Linked DNA regions of Mus musculus: regions 2 and 3 are each reported to be linked to region 1. The links are microRNA targets in miRTarBase. Many come from high-throughput screens and were not tested one by one. Region 1 holds a microRNA gene; each other region holds the end of a gene's coding sequence.

What was found. Region 1 holds the annotated microRNA mmu-miR-706 (AGAGAAACCCUGUCUCAAAAAA, at 2,141-2,162, opposite strand). A microRNA usually pairs through its seed, bases 2 to 8, with sites in the 3' UTR of a target mRNA and lowers its output. Matches are read on the target gene's strand: a 7mer-m8 pairs with bases 2 to 8, a 7mer-A1 pairs with bases 2 to 7 and ends in A, and an 8mer does both.
Region 2: miRTarBase lists Mcm5 as a target of mmu-miR-706. Seed matches in the 3' UTR shown: 7mer-m8 at 3,422-3,428.
Region 3: miRTarBase lists Decr2 as a target of mmu-miR-706. Seed matches in the 3' UTR shown: 7mer-m8 at 3,468-3,474.

Annotation. Positions count from the first base shown.
Region 1 is chr6:120,032,150-120,037,325 of GRCm38, forward strand. It overlaps Mir706 (microRNA 706), which reads right to left and starts at 2,162; the gene lies at 2,079-2,162. Wnk1 (WNK lysine deficient protein kinase 1) reads right to left here. Exons shown (of 28, transcript NM_001199084.1): 1 at 4,725-5,176.
Region 2 is chr8:75,126,752-75,131,751 of GRCm38, reverse strand. It overlaps Mcm5 (minichromosome maintenance complex component 5), which reads right to left. Exons shown (of 17, transcript NM_008566.3): 17 at 3,313-4,529. The coding sequence ends at 4,428. Among named protein-coding and RNA genes, the nearest start is that of Mcm5, 20 kb to the right of the region's middle.
Region 3 is chr17:26,078,285-26,083,284 of GRCm38, forward strand. Decr2 (2-4-dienoyl-Coenzyme A reductase 2, peroxisomal) reads right to left here. Exons shown (of 9, transcript NM_011933.2): 8 at 4,592-4,809; 9 at 2,927-3,977. The coding sequence ends at 4,592. Among named protein-coding and RNA genes, the nearest start is that of Decr2, 9.4 kb to the right of the region's middle.

The DNA.
Region 1 (5,176 bases):
CCAAAGTCTAGATCCCCATATGAAGTGATAAAAATTAAATTTGTCATTTATTAGAGAACTTTAGAAATCCTGACAGCCACTTCTACACAGAATTAGTATAACTTCATTTGAAATTAGTATTACTAATTAGCTATCTACTGAGACTACAAATGTAGTTTGGGGTTTTGTTTTTGTTTTTGTTTTATTTGATCAGTTGTTTTTAGGTTTCTCTGTGTAGTCTTGGATTTTCTGGAAACTCACTATGTAGACCAGGCTGGCTTCAAATTCAAAAGATCAGCCTGTGACTGCCTCCCAAGTGCTGGAACTAAAGGCATGTACCACGACAGCCTGGCCTTTCTAAAAAACAAAAATTTAAATTCTTCTTGATTCTTCAGAGTGTTAACATGTATACACAAATATATCCACCACCATTTCTCCCCTCCAAGTCCTTTTATATGCCCCCAACACATACTCCTCAACTCTTTGACTCTTTAAAAATAGCCTACTAAATCCAATTTGTTGTTGCATGGATTTGTGACTGCCCATGAGAAACCTACCAGTTGGGAACAACATGATAAAAGATAATGATTCTCCCTCTCAGAGAAGCTACAACTGCCAAAGACTCCTTAAGATGGGATAGGCCCTGAAGAGCATATCTATGCCAGAAATTTGGCTGGCAAGTTTTATTTTAGTAACCACAGTTGTTTCCTTTACCTTTTCTGGACTGAACCCAGAACTTTGTAGCTATTAAACAAATATTCTAACACTGCACTAAAGTACTCTACCATTGAACTGTATCCCCAGCTCTCTTCTCTTTCTGACTCTAGTTTTGAGTTAAGGTCTCATTTTGTTGTTCAGGCTGACCTAAAATTTACTCTGTAGCCTAGACAGGCCTTGAACCTGTGATCTTACTGTTTCAGCCTCATTGAATAACTAAAATTATAGGCCTCTGCTACCAGGTCTAATTTGTAATTGCCTTCAATACCTTCCAAATTGCTATATCATAACTATTTTAATGTTTGTAATTTCTTAACCAAAGCTAAATTACTTAATGCCCTATGATTTCAGGTCCTTATTTAACAAACAAGTAGGTGGGAGAGATAGCCTGATTTTATCCAATTTTGCATCTATTTATGTAGGTACACATGTGCCACAGCAAGAGTGCAGGGGTCAGAAAACAACTTTCACAAGTTGGCTCTCTCCTTCCACAATGTGGGTGCTATATTGAACATCAGGCTTAGTGGCAGGGGTCCTTACCTAATGAGCTATTATTTCCCAAAACCCTTCTAGTTTTAATACACTAAAAATTTTAAAGCTAAGCATGGTAGTACATGCTTAAAATCACACTGCTAGGGAGATAATGTCAAAGGGGTACTTTTTTTCCTTTTCTTTTCAAAGCTTTACTTATCCTTAGGTTTGACCTTTAATTTGAACCCAAATATTTTGATCTAAAACAAAATGATATGGGCTGGAATGATATGGCTCAGCAGTTAAGAACACTGACAGCTCTTTCCAGAAGTCCTGAGTTCAATTCCCAACAACCACATGGTGGCTCACAACCATCTGTAATGGGATCTGATGCCCTCTTCTGGTGTGTCTGAAGACAGAAACAGTGCACTCATACACATAAAATAAATAAGTCTTTAAAAATAAATAAATAAAAATAAAAAGTAAAAGCACACATTTATAAAAAGCCACATGGTGGCTCACAACCATCTGTAATGAAATCTGACACCCTCTTCTGGAGTGTCTGAAGACAGCAACAGTGTACTTATATATAATAAATAAATAAATCTTAAATAAATAGATAATTAAATAAAACAAATGTAATTGAAGAATTGAATTCCTGGATCAGTAATAGATCCTTGGTACAAAAATTCCTATAAATCAGTTTCATCTAAATTATTGAGTATGACTGCCCAGTAGGAGGAGAGGCATATTTTGACAAGTTTACCAAACAAACAAACAAACAAACAATGAAGGTAAGTTTGTCTGGCATGGTCCTGTAATACCAATACTCCAAAAGCTACAGCAGAAGAATCATGGATTCAAGGCCAGCTTGGAGTACACAATGAGTCTTCACAATATAGGGTAAGGGAAAAAAAAAGCCATCTCAAAAAACAAAATAAACCTACTAAAAGTAATTTTGTTTGTTTTTTTGTTTTTTGAGACAGGGTTTCTCTGTATAGCCCTGGCTGTCCTGGAACTCACTCTGTAGACCAGGCTGGCCTAGAACTCAGAAATCCACCTGCCTCTGCTTCCCAAGTGCTGGGATTAAAGGCGTGTGCCACCACACCCGGCTAAAAGTAATTTTTAAAAAATACCTGTCACGGCCAGGCAGTGGTGGCACACGCCTTTAATTCCAGCACTTGGGAGGCAGAGGCAGGCGGATTTCTGAGTTCGAGGCCAGCCTGGTCTACAGAGTGAGTTCCAGGACAGCCAGGCTATACAGAGAAACCCTGTTTTGAAAAAAACCAAAATATTAAATAAATAAATAAATAAATAAATAAATATTTGTCACATTTCCAACTCTTATCAGTTATAAAATTAACAAGGGGTAATTTTTTTTTTGGTTATTTTACTTCATTAATGTGCTTAGAAGTTCCATTTTAAGTGTTGAACTCAAGGAATTATGTTCAAGAACTTGCCAGTTTCATGTTTGCTTCCACATGCTGAGTTAACGTTCTTTCACATTTTTAAAATAAAAACAAAACGAACACTCATTTCCAATGGTGAAAATAAATTTCAAGCATATAGAGAAGTGGAAGAGAAAGCTTAATCGACTATCTTTAAGTGAACAATCATATGCTGATAATTGTTGAAGCTGGGTAATTGCTCACCTTCACTAGATATTTAGAAGCAAACTCCATTTTTTTTTTTTTCTGAGACAGGGTTTCTCTGTATAATCCTGGCTGTCCTAGAACTCACTTTGTAGACCAGGCTGGCCTCCAACTCAGAAATCCGCCTGCCTCTGCCTCCCGAGTGTCGGGATTAAAGGCATGCACCACCACATAGAAGCAAATTCCAAACATTATTCCTTTCACATTTCAAATGACCTTGGGACATTTGGAAACCAAGCTGTTTATTAATTCTTGGGTAAATCAAGTTCTGAGATTATTTCAGTTACTTTCCAATCCTATTTCAGTTTGGTCCATTTTCTTGACAAGAAATCAGTAGTGGCACTTTCATCTATGATGTAGCTGAAATTCTGCTTCCACCACAAATACATGCTCATTTCTGGATGTGAACAAGTGCTAACAAACCAATATTTATATAGATGCTTTATAATAACATTTATTTATCGCTATAATATATATTATATTATATTATATTATATTATATTATTTATATAAATATAAATTTATATAATAAATATAATAACATTTATTTATTGCTATAATTCAAGCAATTAGTAGTCCAAACTAATCTAGCATATACCTGCACTTTATTTATAACCTGAAAATTTCCCTGAGATTAAAAAAAAAAAGGAAGGAAGGAAGAAAGCACTGTAATCCCTCGGACTCTTGGGAAGTTTCATTTAAAAATCTTTTATATCCCTGGCATAGTGGCATTAACTTATAATTCTAATACTCTGGAGGCTGAGGCAGAGGGATCAACAAATTCAGGACAGTCTGGGCTATACTTTGGGACACTCACAAAAAGTCTTTTATAAGATATTACAACAATGATGGTATTATCACAACTTTCAAAGCACTTATACAATTTTGCATGGACTTTTACTATTCACTATGGACTGAATAGGATGAAGACAGACTAATGAACAGTGTCAGATCACAGCTAGCCATAAGGCTTAAGCACCTGTAGGTGGTTATATTGGTAGGTATATACTGTACCTTCCTACTCTGAAAGCACTTAAAGGGAAAGAGAGTTGGGAATCAGGGACTGGGTGGTTGTTTTGATGGTGGTGCAAGACTTTAATCCCAGCACTTGGGAGGCAGAGGCAGGTGAATTTCTGAGTTCGAGGCCAGCCTGGTCTACAGAATGAGTTCCAGGACAGCCAGGGCTATACAAAATCCTGTCTCGAAAAAACCAAAACAAAACAAAACAAAAAAGACAGTGTCTCACTACCCAGGCCAGACTGGCCTTGAACTTGAGGCTCTCCTGCCTCGACCAATAGAGTAAGTAGTTGGGATTTCCAGGCATGCCTTTATTAGCTACTATGCTATGATATTCTGCTATCAAGAAAGTTGTTCCTTAAAAGTACAGGGTCTTGTCTAACAATCAGATTTTAGAGATGGAAACACACAAGGCAGTTCATTATTGCAGAGGCTTAGAAGAGAATGAAGTGTACAGGAAAAAAAGGTTTGATATTTACTTAAAGCAAAAGAAAAAAAAAAAATTCCCAAAGGCTGAGGATATATTTAGCTCAGTGGGAAAGCACTTGTCCAGGCCCCACTTCTTCGATCCCCAACACGAAGGGAAACCCTTTTCCAATAATTCCATGTCTCCTGCCTGACATTAAACACACAAGTTTGTACTTAAATGACTCTTTTTACCCCTGGCTGATAACAATCCTTCTTGACACCAATAGTTCCTATCTTTTCCAAACACCTAACTAACTACAAGCTCCACAATCTCCCAATTTCAACCTCTTTGGACACTAGTCTTCCCGCCCTCTCAGAGTCAGAGAATTACAAGTAAAGAGTGAACTCGACAAACTGGCTTAACAGAGCCAAATTTGGGATCCAAACGACCGAATAAGAAAAAAGGGGGTGGGGCATTACCTGCAATTCACACCAGGCGACTTCCACAGTGGTTTCGGTGTCCAGACCTTTGTAGACTGTCTTAAAGGAGCCTCTGCCGATTTCGATGTCAAATTTGAGAAAGCGACCGTCATTGGACATTCCCACTGCCTTGGTCTCCAGCTCTTCGATATCATCCTGTTGCTGGCTCCTATCCTCCTGCGCCTCTTTGGCGCTGGCGCCACCACTGCCACTTCCACTTCTGGACGGCGGTGGCTCCTCTTTGCTCCCCACGAGGCTGGGCTGGGACACCGGGCGGTCTTTGCTGGTACTGCTGGGGACGGTCGTGGTGGCCGAGCCTACAACGGCTTGTTCCCCAGGGGAGGCAGCAGCCGAGGGTTGCTGAGACACCTGGGAAGCAACGGTGGCGGTCAAAGTTTCCTCTCTGTGAGGTTCGGGTGGAGCACTCTGGGGCACCACTGCAGGTACACTAG
Region 2 (5,000 bases), not on the chromosome of region 1:
CTAGTGTACTACTTGGCACACAGTGAGTGCAGAATTCACCACTCATTCATAAGGTGCTGAAAACATTTTGGCAGAGGAGGGCATCAGAAAGCAGCCCTGGACCCTCCATGAAATTCTTTCCCAAACCCTTCCCCAAATCCTGTCCCTACACAAGTAGAAACTTGGTTCAAGGTGGCCAGAAGTTCTTGACTCCTGAGCCACTTTGCTCCCCATATAATGCCTTTTTCTCTTCAATGTGTCTGATGAAAGATTAAGGCTAGGAACTTTCCACTCTGTGGGCAACAGGGGCTTACACCCCAGCCCCACCCCACTCCTCCTGTCCTAGAAAGAAGCCTGTTCCCCCACCACCTATCATGTTAAAAAAGCCCTAGACACCAGCGCCTCAGACCTGAGTACAAAGTTGTTAGGTAGTTATGGAACAGGTATGGTAGCACTTGTCTTTAATCCTATTAAACGTAGAGACCTGTGGGTTTGTTAAAGTGGGCCCTAATCTAGCCTGATTGGTATCCTTTCACTTTAACACATACACACACACATACACACACACACACAGAGAGAGAGAGAGAGAGAGAGAGAGAGAGAGAGAGAGAGAGAGAGAGAGAGAGAGAGAGCGAGCGAGCAACTGATCTGGCAAACCATGGATGCAATTGTCTACCTTAATCTATTCCACACCATCCACAGCACCCTTTGCTGGACTGTGGGTAAGGTGCTAGTACCAACCCATCCTCATGGCCATTCTCTTAACCTCAGCCTGAACTTTGAGAAAGGGGAAACAATGGAAAGGACCCTAAACTGCCTATCTATTGCTTGGAACTTAGTTTCCTAATAATTCCAAAATTTGCTGTCAAGGCAGCTCAGTCCCTAGAAGAGCCTGCCTCATCCTTAAATCGGTGCTCACATCTTTTTCTCCCCCCCCCCCCCCGCTTTTCTTTTTATTCAAGACAGGGTTTCTGTGAGCTCTCATCCTGGAACTTGCTCTATAGATCAGGCTAGACTTAAACCTAAGAGATCCACCTGCCTGCCTCCCTAGAGCTGGTGTTTAAGGCGTGCACCACCAAACCCAGCACCCCTATTTCTTAATAGGAAATTAAGGCTGGGATAGGTACAGTAAGTAGCTGAGTTACAATCTGAACCCAGGCCAGTTGGGTTTGGGCCCATGTACTTACACCAGAACTTTACCTTACCGCCTCATCTTTCAAGTAGAAGAAAAAACCCTCACTGATTTAACTGAAAACTACCCTTTGAACCATACCATGTTCCTGTGGTGCCAGGATTGAAAACCTGGCCTCACACATGCCAGGAAAGCAGTCAACCACTGAGCTGCAACCCTTGGCTCATAAATACCAACCTACCAGTGTTCATGTTTAAGCACACGGATCTGTATGCCTCAGCAGGTAAAGGTGCTTGTCACACACATCGGATGACCTGAGTTTTCCCAAGAGCCCATGTAAACATGCAAGGAGAGAACAGACTCTATGCAGTTGCCTCCTAAGCTCCACCCATGTGGCATGCTATTTAAGACCAACACATACACACCCACGCACAATATGAAAGATTTACATCTAAAACCATAACATACTTAATAGAAGTGAAAAACTTACATCTAAAACCACAAAGTTACCCTGTGAAGTGTGCATCTTCTGCCACTTCCACCTCAACAGTCTGAGAAAACTCATCTTTTGCATTTCTGAAATTCCTTGTTTTTGTTGTTTCTTTGGGATGGGGTAGATGGCTCCGCATCTAAAAGCACTGGCTTCTCTTCCTGGGGACCCAGGTTCAATTCTCAGCACCCATAGAGTTCACAAACACCTGCAAATCAAAGATCTAACACCTTCATACAGACATACATGCAGGCAAAACACCAAGATGCATAAGATAAAAATAAAAAATAGTTTAAAAATAAGAGAATTGGGCTGGGCGGTGGTGGCGCATGCCTTTAATCCCAGCACTCGGGAGGCAGAGGCAGGGAGATTTCTGAGTTCGAGGCCAGCCTGGTCTACAGAGTGAGTTCCAGGACAGCCGGGGCTATACGAAAACCCTGTCTCGAAACACACACACACACACACACACACACACACACACACCCGCAAAAAAAGAGAATTGGCCTTATTCTGGTACTTGTAAATGTTCCTCTAAAATAGTATTTTCACTAACACATTTTTATGTAGATTGTTTTTGAAACAGGACCAATCTCTTATAGCCCAGGTTGTAGCCTTGAACACTTTGAAACTGAGGACAACCTTGAACTCCTGATCCTCCTGCTTCCATCTCCTAAATATGGGAGTTACAGGGATGCTAACTTCCATGTCTGGCCTGTAATCTTCACTGTACGTATGACTTCTATGGTGGCTAAGGTGACAGTGTGTATGATTCCCAACAGCTTGTCATTAACAGTTGCTTAGAATTTTGCCAGAAATCCTCCACACCTCATGCATTTCAGTAGAATCCTCTCCCACGTGCAGTCTGGGTCAGACAATATGTGATGGTAGATGCAGCAGAGCTCAGGTGCTAACATAACAGGCCATTGCAGCCCATTTGGGCCCGTACCAATCCTGTCACTGCGTGACACGAATATATGTCTAAGGACAAATAATATTTAAGCTGAAAGACCAACCAGGGGATGTGAAATGTCTATCTATACCTTGGGCAAGGGACCAGACCAGGAATCACCAGGACGCCCAAGCATGCCAAGGCAAAAAAAAAAGTGAAAATCAAGTTGCTGTCTGGGGAAGCAATGAAAGCAGAGCAAGCAGCAGGGCTGAGTCCTCAGAGCACTGCTTCAAATCCTACTTATCTGAGACACTCATGGGAAGGTGAGGAAAAGAGGGGAAAGTGTGTCCTAAGACCATCTTGGCCATACTTGCAGGGCTACAGTAACTTAGCCCCAGCAGCTCAGGCCAGTGTCTCGTAGAATTAAAGGTTAGGATCCAGTTCAGATTCAGAAACCAACCAATCCTTAATTCCTGGATATTTTCCTGGGCATTTTTCCTCGTGCTGTGGCACACCGAGCACTGCCCACTTCCCTGCAAGCCAAGCTTGTCTCCCTTAACACTGTGCCTGCCAGCCAGGGCCTACCAAGAAAGAGGTATCATATCGGCATCTTCCACTCAACTAAGCACTCCTGCAGGCCCGCATGTCCATGCATCCTCAAGGCCTCAAGTAGGATGAAATGTTCTTACCAAGCCTGCCCTTCCAGACAAGCACACTCTGTTCCAAGTTTGCAGACCAATCAAAAAGAAATGGCTATGGCCATTCGTCAGGAGCAAGCACATTTCCAGGAGGGAGTAAGAAGCAAACACTTCAGCCAGGCGTGGTGGCCCACACTTTTAATCCCAGTACTCAGAAGGCAGAGGCAGGCGGATTTCTGAGTTCGAGGCCAGCCTGGTCTACAAAGTGAGTTCCAGGCAGCCAGGGCTACACAGAGAAACCCTGTCTCAAAAAACTAAAAAAAAAAAAAAAAAAAAGCAAACACCTCAAGCAACAGCCATTTCAGCACAGGACGCCATCTACGAGAAAGGCCTGTGTATGTACTTCCTGTTCTCTCAAGCCTTCCTCCTACAGTAACTTTACTGTTGGTGACTGCAGTGTTTTCAGCACTAGCTTCCCATTTATAAATGTACTTTACATAACAAATACTTAAATATTTCACTGACTTTTCCTTAATTTTATAAATTATAGATTTCTAAAATCATAATTTTCGGCATTTTGGTAATACGAGGTGTTGGGTGTCTTCTTTTAACAATGTTGTCACTAATACCTCCTACTGTGCTGAAGCTTGCTCAGGTACTCATAGCTCCTTAACTGATAAACCCTGACGTCTGGTTCCTTCCCCAGACACCACTGAGGCCCACTTGCTATAAATAAAGCCCTGGAGACATTCTACATTGGAGTCTACTTGGGTTTTCACTGACAGCCACTCACTCACTGAGCTCAGCTTCATCAAATTTGTTTGCAGATTAGGAAACTGAGGCAGACAACTCAATGAATGATCCAGTTCTCACATTAGGTGCTGCTGAAGAAAGCTGAAAGAGTCAACCTTGTATTCACACAGCACTACTATCATACTGGGTCCACTGACCTTAGCAGCCAGGGACTCAATTGCTTTATTACCTCTGTACATACAAAGAAGCTTGGCAGTGAGTGGCCCGGGAGCCAATATACAGACCCATCTACATTCCAGGGCCTGTTCCTGCTCCAGACTCATCTTGTTGAGAAGGCATGACAGGGGATAGACACCCAGAGCAGAGAGTCCTCAGACACTCAAACACAGTATGAGGCCAACAGACCAAAGTACATTTCCAGGGGCTGCAGATGTGCTGCAGACTGCAGTCTGAGGTGGAGAGGCAGGGCAAAAGGAGGTTTGGAGCACTGACTGGGAGATAGGGTGGTGGCAGCATTTCAGGCTTGAGGGTTGATGGGCAATGGGCTCACTTGAGGCGATAGAGCACCTTGCGCTGCATACGGTGTTGGATCTCACCCCTGCGTAGCATGAGCTGCAGCACCTTTCGGATAGCGTGCTCTGGATATTTCTGTAGGAGGGAGCACAAGACAGATGCACAGGTATATCATTATGACCCAAGGGACCTGATGCATCACCGGATCATAGACAATTTTAAACAGACAAAAAATATCCACCTCCATTCTCCCTTGACTTCAGAAAAGTGTGTATGTGATGATGCCTCTTGTGTACTAGGTAAGTACATATATCGACTTTATGCACCTAGTATTAGGAATAATCTCATTTTACAGAGGAAGAAATAGGCACAGGCTGTCACTTGTTTGGGTCATATAGCAATTAAGTGAGCTAGGACTTAAGTCCCTGTGACCCTAGAAGTCAAGCTTTCTCCAGCCCCAGCCTCAGGCAAGACTAGTCTCTTCACTTATAGAGGGCCAGTATCTGTTACTGTATAATTTACTTCCAGGAGCAAACGGAGAGGATACACAGGGAAGGGAACGAGAAACAGAAACCAGGGCTATCCTCATGATTTTAAAGGGCACAG
Region 3 (5,000 bases), not on the chromosome of region 1:
AAAGCCAAAAAAAAAAAAAAAAAAAAAAATCTGGTTGCTCTTGCAGATGACCTGGGTTCAATTCCTAGCCCTCACATGGCAGCTCACTGTAACTCCAATCCCAAGGGATCCAATGCTCTCTTCTGGACTCTGCAGGCACTGCATACCTGTGGTGCATAAACATATTCAGGCAACATTTTTTTAGACATGTAAATAAAAACTCAAAAAAAAAAATGTTGACGTGAAGAGGTCTTCTTCAGGGGCCGCTGAGATGGTTCAGTGCATAGAGATTGCCAGCCTCACAACCAGAGTTTGCTTCCCAAAACCCATGGGAAGGAAGAAGAGAAGTGACAACACACAGCTGTCCTCTGACCTCTGCACATACATGTGCTCCCCTTCCCATGTTCTGTACACACACAGTAATATGGGCCAGCAAGATGGCTCAGCAGGTAAAGACCACCAAACCTGTCACCGGAATTCAACCCCCAGCATCTACTTGGTAGAAGGAGAAAACCAAGTCTCTAATGTTATCCTCGGATCTCCACATGAGCATCGTAACACATCCTGCCCACACATATGCATGCAAATAAATAACAAATGTTTAAAAGCAAAAACAAACAAACAAATACAACAGACAGGTACCTTCAACCTGTTTCCTATGTCTCCATGAGGTGGCCCCGCCCTGGCAAACAGAGAGGAAGACCCAGTGCTTGGGAAAATCCTCCAGGGAGACAAGTGGATTTTGGTGCCAGATCTTGTAGTACATGCAAGCCACAGCTGGGCTGCTCCAAGTTACCAAGGCAACAGAAATCAGTGGAAAGGAACCCCCTCCAAATGAGCAGTGTTTATTTTGGGCAATTTTAAGGTTTTTGTGTTCTGGATAGACAAAGATAAACATACCCAGACCTTCATTTGTAACCTATGGAAAACACTGACATGCTAGAAATCACCTGTATGGCTCAAACCAAGGCACGGGTGAGTACATGCAGTTTTGTTTGTTCGTTCATTAAACACATACAACCCAAGACACTTTGTTCTTTTTGTGGTAGGGGAGGATGTGTGGGTTTTTTGAGACAGAGTTTCTCTGTGTAACAGTACTGGCTGTATGACTTAAGATTTCCATTGCTAACAAGAGACACCATGACCAAGGCAATTCTTTTTTTTTTTCTTTTTTGGTTTTTCAAGACAGGGTTTCTCTGTGCAGCCCTGGCTGACCCGGAACTCACTTTGTAGACCAGGTTGGCCTCAAACTCAGAAATCCGCCTGCCTCTGCCTCCCGAGTGCTGGGAATAAAGGAGCGCCACCACGCCCGGCTGGACCAAGGCAATTCTTATAAGGGACAGCATTTAATTGGGGCTGGCTTACAGGTTCAGAGGTTTAGTGCACTATATTGGCAGGATGCATGGCAGTGTGCAGGCAAACATGGTGCTAGAGAAAGAGTCAAGGGTTGTACATCTTAGCTGGGCAAGGTGGCGCACGCCTTTACTCCCAGCACTCAGGAGGCAGAGGCAGGCTGATTTCTGAGTTTGAGGCCATCCTGGTCTACAAAGTGAGTTCCAGGACAGCCAGGGCTATACAGAGAAACCCTGTCTCCAAAAACAAAAACAAACAAACAAACAAACAAAAAGAGTTGTACATCTTGATCCAAAGGCAGTCAGGAGAAGACTGACTTCCAGGCAGCTAGGAGGAGGGTCTCAAAGCCCACCCTCACAGTGACACATGTGGTTGCCGGGAATTGAACTCCGGACTTCTGGAAGAGTAGTCAGTGCTCTTAACCACTGAGCCATTTCTACAGCCCCACTTTGTTATTTTAAGACAGGTTTTTGGCATGGCTGATAGTCACTCTGTAGCCAAGCTAGCCTTGAATTTGTGGCAGTTATGCTAGGATTACAAGTGTATACCACTAAGCCTGGGTTTTGCTGTTGCTGAGGGGGTTTGGTTTGGGTTGGGTTTGAGGGGTGTGTTATTTGTTGTTTGGTTGCTTGCTTGGTTTCTAAGGCTGGGTCTCACCGTGCAGTCTAAACCACCCTTAATCTTAATCTTCCTATTTTAGTCTCCCAAGTGCTGGGATTACAAGCCTGTGCCATCATAATGAACTAATGCCTTTTAAAATCTGCATCTTGGGGGGGGGGGGCGGGGCTGGAGAAATGGCTTAGTGATTAGAGCTATATACTCCTTTTGAAGAGGAATGGATTTCAATTTTCATGAGACTCAAATCAGATTATAACTCCAGCTGCAGGGGGATCTCAAAGATGCCTTCTTCTGGACTCTGGGGGTATCTACACTAACACATTAAGGTTAGCCAGGCGGTGGTGGCGCATGCCTTTAATCCCAGCACTTGCTAGACAAGGCTGGCCACCAAATGCTCTGACACACCAGCATGGTGGCCACATGCTGGAGCCGGCAGGCAACCCCCACGGATGGGGCAGTGGGGCTGCTTGTACCTTACACATTGAGTGAGTGCTGAAATTGTGTCCTTCTTGAGCTGGCTCAACAGCTAAGAGCTTGATACTGTGTCTGCCAAAGGGGCCCGGAACAGCAGAACATGCTCAGGATTTGTAGTAGAGCGGGGAGTTCAAAGACAGGTGACTATAGGGCTGAAAGGTTTCAGGGAGGGGGAGATGCTCCCTCCCACCAGGGTGGCCACAGTGCCACACCTCCCTCTGATCTGGAGACCATTGGTAAGAAGTCAGGAAGCTGTGCTGCTAGGGTTGGGGGGCAGGATAATGGGGAGGAGGGCACTGGGCTCTGTTGGTGGAAGGAGGGCATGAGGGGGGAGGACTTCACTCAGTTGGTGGGAGGAGGGCATGAGGGAGAAGGACTTTGATCAGTTGGTGGGAGGAGTGCATGAGGGGGGAAGGACTGGGCTCGGTAGGTGGGAGGAAGGCATGAGAAGCAACCAAGCTAAAGAGATATGGAAAAAAGACAGGAAACACAAGCACTATTTCCATGGTAGAATCAGTCAATTTTTTTTCTGTCTAGAAACGTTTTTATTAAAGATTTCTTTATTTATTTTATGTATATGAGTACACTGTAGCTGTACAGATGGTTGTGAGCCTTCATGTGGTTGTTGGGAATTGAATTTTTAGGACCTCTGCTCGCTCTGGTCTGCTCTGCTCGCTCAATCCTGCTAGCTCTGGCCCAAAGATTTATTTATTATTATACATGAGTTCACTGTAGCTGACTTCAGATGCACCAGATCTTATCACAGATGGTTGTGAGCCACCATGTGGTTGCTGGGATTTGAACTCAGGACTTTCAGAAGAGCAGTCAGTGCTCTTACCTGCTGAACCATTTTGCCAGCCCTCTAGAAACTTTTACAAATTCCAACTCATAGCTATTTTTATAGTAGAAAAAACAAAAAACAAAAAAAAAAAAACCCGGGCAGTGGTGGCGAATGCCTTTAATCCCAGCACTTGGGAGGCAGAGGCAGGCAGATTTCGAGGCCAGCCTGGTCTACAGAGTTCCAGGACAGCCAGGGCTATGCAGAGAAACCCTGTCTCAAAAAAAAAAATTTTTTTTTACAAGAAAATGCATTTTTTTTCTGGTAAAACCATAGGAATTCCTCAGATACTGTAAGCAAGTTTCAGCTATGCATGATCGGGTTATTCCTACTCAAGATGTGGGCGGAGGAGAGGCAGAGCTTGCAAAGAGCTTGATCCCAGAGGCAGGGGAGTGGGCTCGGATTTCCAAGTCAGACTCAACACTTCCTGTGTGACTATAGACCTATGCAAGGCAGGAGGCATTCCCCATGAAGAACACTGCCTCCTCAAAACAACTATCTTGAGTACGAAGTTTATGTGTCAGAAGATCCCCGGGGGAGGACGTACAGATCAGTTGATTCTGCTGGTTGAACCTGCTGGAAGCCTTGGGTGTGATCTTCAAACACTGCAAAAATTGGCAGGGTGGCTCTTTTGTAAAATCATCTTCAGCTACATAGTGTACATGAGATCCTATCTTCAAAGAAGAAGAAGGTGGATATCCACGGGAGGACTCCCCTGGGGGACGGGAGGACGGGAGGGAGAGGAAGCTTCAGTCATGATGTAAAGAAAATTGATTAATTCATTAATTAATAGAAAAGTAATCATTAATCATCACTGAATAAACGTTGACCTGAGATGAAGTTATAAGGAGAAAGAAGAAGAACGTGGAGGAGGAGGAAGAAAGAGAGAAAAGGAAAGGAAAGGAAAGGAAAGGAAAGGAAAGGAAAGGAAAGGAAAGGAAAGGAAAGGAAAGGAAAGGAAAGAAAAGAAAAGAAAAGAAAAGAAAAGAAAAGAAAAGAAAAGAAAAGAAAAGAAAAAGTTATATCCTAGCATGTACTCCTGTACTCTCACACTCCAGAGGCTAAGATAGGAAAATTGCAAATTTAAGGCTGTATTTCTCCAATAGAGACGAGGATAAGGTCTGGGAAAACCCAGTGTCATAGAGCCCACTTCCTTCACATTCTTGGAGACCATGTCTTGCCCACCTGGCCCAGGGCCCCTCTGTGCCAGGACAGGGGCAGGGATGCTCCTATGAAAACATGACTAGTAGTTTATAGCTGCACTTAGTAGAATAAAAGATGAGGCATCCAAGGACATGGGGATCCCGAGAAGTGGGAACAACACCTTACCTACAGCTTAGCAGAGAAGGATTCAAACTCTAGCAGTTGCTTGATGCCATTGGGGAATGTCATCCAGCTTCCACCATCAACCACCAGCACGATACCTGAGACATAGGAAGCCAGAGGGCTGGCCAGGTACAGCACGCTGTGAGCGATCTCTGTCTTGGTCCCAAGTCTTGGAATAGGATTTGAAAAATGCTTTAATTTCGAACTGGCATTGGAGCCTCCTGGAAAGCAATAGGAAGTCAGATCCCAGTAAGCCTCTATGCCACAGTGTCTGCTGCTCTCTCCAGCTAGCTCTCTCCCTGACCCAGATCTGGAAACAGTGGTTGCTCTATCAAGGCCAACAGCAGACTGACACTGAACCCACATGATGGACATTGGAGACCCTCACAGTAGGCCAAGTTCAACAGGGTAG